Linked DNA regions of Drosophila melanogaster. The gene in region 1 interacts genetically with each later gene. Each region holds a gene or a part of one and is shown in the gene's direction. Other genes may lie near its edges.

Evidence for each region.
Region 2: of plu (region 1) and gnu, changing one suppresses a phenotype caused by changing the other (phenotypic suppression), as found in Drosophila melanogaster (one study listed by BioGRID).

Annotation. Positions count from the first base shown.
Region 1 is NT_033778.4:20,262,222-20,265,500, reverse strand, and holds plu (plutonium), read left to right. Parts: upstream 1-1,816; 5' UTR 1,817-1,839; coding exon 1,840-1,855; intron 1,856-1,912; coding exon 1,913-2,317; intron 2,318-2,371; coding exon 2,372-2,475; 3' UTR 2,476-2,543; downstream 2,544-3,279. Other genes in the region: CG8908 (uncharacterized protein), read right to left, coding at 1-278, 343-569; RpS18 (ribosomal protein S18), read right to left, coding at 739-1,008, 1,069-1,254, 1,391-1,393; PCNA (proliferating cell nuclear antigen), read left to right, coding at 2,780-2,887, 2,948-3,279. UniProt on the Drosophila melanogaster protein: Inhibits DNA replication early in developments. May bind and block the action of a replication or initiation factor.
Region 2 is NT_037436.4:14,801,748-14,805,070, reverse strand, and holds gnu (giant nuclei), read left to right. Parts: upstream 1-1,710; 5' UTR 1,711-1,811; coding exon 1,812-1,839; intron 1,840-1,897; coding exon 1,898-2,592; 3' UTR 2,593-2,691; downstream 2,692-3,323. Other genes in the region: NHP2, read left to right, coding at 2,981-3,231, 3,292-3,323.

The DNA of each region.
Region 1 (3,279 bases):
GCTTCAAGATTGAAGTGTTGTCCCAAACCATCTTGGGATTCTTGCGTAGGTGAAGCGGAAAACGCAGGCCCACCGTGACATTAATCGGAAGCTCATTTATGTCGCTGAAGCTGTCATCAAACTCAATGCCCACGTAGCCATATGTATCCTTTCCTATCAGCGCTTTATTCAATTCAGATGCGCTGGCAAAGGCCTTACTGCCAACGGCCTTCAGATCGTGAACCACATCCTCGATGACAGCAGCCAAGACTAGATTCTCAGGTGAGTAGTAAATGTACCTGGTTGGTTCATGTGGTGTTGTCAGGGTGGCCTGGACTATTGTGGCAATCGGCTTATACATACGGCACTTTGGTTGTGATGTTGACGGGCGGGTACTTCACCGACGTCTCCTCTTGCGGCTCTCGGAACAAAGCCGTCGCCGCATAAACGAGGAAGACTACGATGGGCCCCACAATGATGATCACGCTGGTTAGCGTATTGGAGAACTGGAAGCGGGCCGTCTTGCATATGACCAGCCACAGCAGGCATATGCTGCTCTGCGTCTTCACCGGCGATTCACCACTGGACATATTCGTACAATTTAGATGACGCCAACACGTAAACAGATTAGAAATATAACAAACTTCACGTATACTCCGCACTAAAACGTTCCGGCTTCCGTGTTTTCTTTTATTTTGTGGTTGATGTGAAAATTAAAGTCGAATCGGAAATCCGTTCCGGCAGGGAACGCTGCTAAGCTTACTTCTTCTTGGACACACCCACGGTGCGACCACGACGACCGGTGGTCTTGGTGTGCTGGCCACGCACACGGAGGCCCCAGTAGTGACGCAGACCACGGTGGGAGCGGATCTTCTTCAGACGCTCCAGATCGTCACGCAGCTTCGAGTCCAAGTTGGAGGAGGTCAGCTGCCAGTACTTGCCATCGATGATGTCCTTCTGCCTGTTGAGGAACCAGTTGGGCACCTTGTACTGCAGAGGGTTCGAGATGATGGTCACCACCTTGTCGACCTGCAAACATGGCATTTAGGTTGGTGTGCGTCTCGAACGGATTGGGCGTGCTCAACTTACCTCCTCCTCGGTGCACTCACCGGCGCGCTTGGTAAGATCGACATCGGCCTTCTTCAGCACAATGTTGGAGTAGCGGCGACCCACTCCCTTGATGGCGGTCATGGCGATGCCAACCTTGCGCTTGCCGTCGATGTTCGTATTCATGATACGCAGGATGTGCTGGAACTTCTCTGGGATGACGAGCGACTGCAAGAATGCAAAGAAAAAACATTAGTATAATGCATATAAACCACGCCATTTTTGCCAACAGCTAACGGCATTTGCAATTCACTATAAATTTGTCGTTTGGCGCTCAGAATCGCACATATTTGAGGTAACTCACCATTTTGCCGTTTGTATTCTCGTATTTACTCCTCACTGTAAAGAATTAAGAGGTATTTTGTTTTAGAATTTTGGAAAAATCAAATGGGCAGCACACCACTCACCGGAAACGGGAAAAGAAAAGAAGGCCGAATTAATGTGGCTGCCTGAGGCGGAGTAAAAAACCTAAAATTGCCTGCCACGTTCGGGACGCGTGCTGTTAATAGTTCGCCGTGTGCTGTTAGGCGCACTCTGGTCCATCACTAATGCAAATTTAAAAATTCAAAAGGCGCCGAACTTTTGTTCAATGAAAATGCTTAAAGTGCCATTTAGATATGCTCTGTGTGCACATTTAAAAAATTAAACTTCATATTTTATGTTTCTTTATATTTTATATTTTATTCCCCACATTTCGTAATACGTTTTATCGTACTGCATCCCTAGAGCACCGTTATATGAAAGCTTTTCAGAATGGGTGAAATAAATGGTAAATTATATTAGCTATGCGAATTTCCAATATTGATAAAAATGCATTGCATTTAAGCACTCAGCTGCGTTGGACAGGACGATGTCGTTTCCCTGCGCATCGTGTGCACCATGGCTCGCGACGGCAAGCAGCACAACCTCGAGGATGTGGACATGTACGGGAATACCGCCCTATTGAAGGCCTGCTATTTGGGTCGATTTGAGTGCGCTCGTACGCTGCTGGAATTCGGTGCAAATATCTTTGCTATGAACTATTTTGGTCAAAATGCCCTGACACTGGCCACTTATGCTGGGCATTTGACTTTAGTAAAGGAACTGTTGAGGCGAAGATCCTACAAGGATTTCAATCTGTCCTCGATGATCCCGGCCCTCTGTGTGGCTACACTGCAAAAACACTCCGCTTTGGTGGCCTATTTTACTCAATTGGATTCGAGGGGCGTGCAAGAAACTCAAACAGTGCATGGTTAGTAAAAATCAAGTGTATTTATATAGTAACATTAAAGTAAATTTATTTCAGGTCTGGGAGTTGCAGAGCTGCGAGGAATGATTAAAGCTGCAGGCCGCTTAGATAAGCGCAATGTGCGCTCTCCTCCCACTTTTATTAGCAATCGTCTGCGTTAATGTATTGTCATTTTGTAATAATTTATTAATTTTAATGTTTGAAATAAATATACTCTGTAAAAAGTGTGAACATAATATGTTAATCAAACCAGTTGGCAGGCCGCTCGCTGGCTGCTATCGATAGATTCAGTCGATATCGCCCGTGGCTTTTCACATCCCTATCCCGCTCATTTAGCCCGCCTGAAAGTAAAAAAAAAAAACAGCCCACGTTAATCATTCATCCCAAAGTCACAGCCGCGGTAACATTACTGCTGTTAAATTCTTAAGCCCGTCATCAGTATTTAAATAATAAAACACATTCAATATGTTCGAGGCACGCCTGGGTCAAGCCACCATCCTGAAGAAGATCTTGGATGCCATCAAGGATCTGCTCAATGAGGCAACCTTCGATTGCAGCGACTCCGGCATTCAGGTAAAAATTGCACAAAAAAGATTTTAAATGCATATCCCTAACACCTTGTTCAACTTACAGCTACAGGCCATGGACAACTCCCATGTGTCGCTTGTCTCGCTGACCCTGCGTTCCGATGGCTTCGACAAGTTTCGCTGCGACCGCAATCTCTCCATGGGCATGAATCTGGGCAGCATGGCCAAGATTCTGAAATGCGCCAACAACGAGGACAATGTGACGATGAAGGCGCAGGATAACGCCGACACTGTCACCATCATGTTCGAATCGGCTAACCAGGAGAAGGTATCGGACTACGAGATGAAACTGATGAACCTCGACCAGGAGCACCTGGGCATACCGGAGACAGACTTCTCGTGCGTGGTCCGCATGCCGGCCATGGAGTTCGCTCGCAT
Region 2 (3,323 bases), on another chromosome or scaffold:
ACAAAAAGCTCGGCTTTCCGCTTCGGCTTTCGGGATCGGGGGGCTCTATATATGTATATGCATATAAGTATATATATGTATGGCTAGTGCGCAGGCGCTTCGATGCTCGTGAAAAAAATATAAACACAAAGCAGCTGGCCGAGCTCAGCTGTTTCTTAGCCAAAAGCCGGCAACAACAAGCCCCACATGTGGCCAACTTAGCCGAAAGGGGGGAGTTTATTGGTCGCCAGGGGGGGTGGGGGGTTTGCAAAGCTTCGGCATTGCCGACTGCGCAAAGACAATAATTCCATGTTGTTCTTGCCCACGAAAAACCAAATAAAGCAAGGTAAGCGCCTAAAACCCAAACAACAGCAGCAGCAGCGCCAAAATATCTGTGGGGCTTTAACAGGTGGCAATGTCATGATTTCACAGTACACAAAATAATATATCTTTACATACATAGATAAATATAGATATCTATTTATCTGAAGTCACTGGTTTTGAAAATGGTTCCGAATCTTTAGTAAGTAAGCCTTACTTAAGGTTTCATAAAAAAAATATATTATATAGTAAGAAGTGCACGCTAAGCATTTGACAAAAATAAAATGTATTTATATTTTAGAGCATAACCAATACAATATTACAGTTTCCTAACTATTAATTTGTTTAAATTAGTATTTAGCTGTAATATTTTCTTTTTCATGCATAGCGAAACAATTAATATATGTTTAAATGATTATCAGATGACATGAAAAAGTATTTTTCAATAAATACATTAATTTGCACAGCAAACGACTATTGAAGTAATAAATTACTGTGCAAATTTTATAACAAAATGTAAAATTTTTTATGTTTTATGGTTAGGCATTTTCATAAAAAAAATTGTCAATTTTTACTCCAAGTGCTCTTTATGAATATTGTCATTATTGCACGCAAGAATTGTGAATTTTCGGCGTCATTAAATTAACTTAATTGATTATTTTCGTTAAATTAATTTGCACGTTTTGTGCAACAATTGTTTACATTTTATCGGTTCATCTGTTGACTGCCAATTCGCAAAAAAAAGATTTGTCGCAAAAACTTCGACGCAAAAACCGAAGCAAATCAAATCAAATCGCACCGCAAAAGTAACGACTGAAAAACTGGACAAACTCGCTTTAATTAGAAGCAAAATAATATTATGTAGACGGTATAAAAACGATATTTGGTACTTAGACATGTGAAATGGTAAATATTAATGCGTGGCGAGTTCCTTGAACTTTTATTCTAATTTATTTATTTCACCCAAATCACGAGGGTAAAGTCAGAGATTTAACAATAGCAAAAAAACATGGATATGAATATTCTAATGTGCCAGATTAACGTTTATTCTTAATCAATTATAAACAGGCACAAAAACCTTAACAGAAACAAAACACATTTTTATATAGTTTCTAAACTCTCGAGTTTTTTATGAATTATTTTTACTATTGTAGTTTACAATTAGTTATTAGGCATAATTCTTATATCATATTTTTAAGCACTTTGTGATAGTTGTGACTGTTGTTGAAATTTATTTTCTTGAAAAGAAATATACATATTGTAATTTAGATCTTAAAAACTCATTATATGATCTATTTTTAAGGATCGTTTTTCAGCACTGATCATGGTTCTATGACTAGGATTTTATGAGTTGCCTGATCACAGAATTTTCGGTAATTTTAACCGCTCTTAATGCGGTCGCATTAAAAAAGCAGTTAATTACAGTTAGTTGCATTTTGCAAATCTTATTGCACGTTTTTTTTTGTCGTCTTTTTTGTGCTCGTGGAAAATATTATTTGTAAAATTACCGAATGGAGCGCTACAATCGCGTCTATAGAGGTAGTATTGCTAATACTTTTGTAAACAAGTTTAAAATATATCCTTTAACTTTCAATAGATCCCGCATCCCCACTGACCCCACTCACTCCCCTCTCCACCGAAGCTTTTACATTCGAAGATGTCACGCCCACTGGAGGCGTTGGCAGGAAGGGTACCGCGAGATACGGACTCTTTGGAATGCCGAAGAACAATAATCTTACGGTTCCTAACAGTCGACCGGCATTGTCCGGGTTAAAACGACTATCGGAATCCACTTTGCCCCGTCGATTTTCACAGAAATTTATGCGCACGCGTTCCGTATTTTCGCCCACAAGTCAAAGTACCCTTATAAATGGGGAGACCAGGCTACTGGGAGAATCTGGAGATTCGAAACTACTGAGAACTAAGAGAGAAGACAGACCAAAGCCGGATATCCGACTGCAGCAGGAAACGCGGCTGAGGCAGGAGGAATCCAAGTTGAAAAGTGCGCGAAAGATTAAAGTGGAGGACCCAAGAAGTCCCACTCCCAGTATCCATCATTCACGCTATAAGCCCTGCTCCCCGGTGGAGCACCCCACTTTGAGTCCTCGGGTCAAATCCCTGCTCGATCGCACCGGAAACGCGCATCTCACAGAGCTGTTCACGCGCCAGGAGATCGACATCGAGGTGCTCATCCAAATGACCCTGGAGGACTTGGCGGCACTGGGCGTTCGCGGCGCCCGGGAGATCCGATTGGCCATGAATATTATCCAACTGGCCAAGCAATTCTTCTGATTTTATATCCTGTAGGATTTCTGCTAATTTTAAACTGTTTTATGTCATGTGGATTTGAATTTGTATGTGAGATTTTAATAAATGTTTAATGTGGTCTTGAAGTATTTTTGCGCGGTGATTGGGGCTTGGGATTGGAACTCTATTTTTAATTTAATATTCATTTAACATTAAGTAATAATTTTTCTCAGTGTATGAACTTAGCTAAAAACATTAGTAAAGTCACAAACCATAGAGTAAGTCGCATTAATCCATGTCTGAACGGTATTTATTTTAGTATATTTTTGCGGCACGCTAGTATGCTTCAAAAGTCGATCCGCGGTCACACTGAACACGTGTTTCGAACAAAAAGCCGTTTAAACAAAATATCCACGTTTTTATCAAAAAAGCAATGGGCAAAGTGAAAGTAGAGCGCTCCGAGGATGCCGATGAGTCCGTTGTGGCCAGCGGCGATGTTACCATCAAGGAGGAGGAGTCCTACGACGACAAGCTGATCTTTGTGAACGCCATCGCGAAACCGATGGCAGGTAAAAAACTGGCCAAAAAGTGCTACAAACTGGTGAAGAAGGCCATGAAGCACAAGACTTTCCTGCGAAATGGACTTAAGGATGTACAGACTCGCCTGCGCAAGGGCGAAACTGGGTAAGTGCTGCGTGATCCGTGACTGCAAGACAACAAGAAATATACCCACATCTTCTCCAGCATTTGCATCTTTGCTGGCGACGTTACACCTG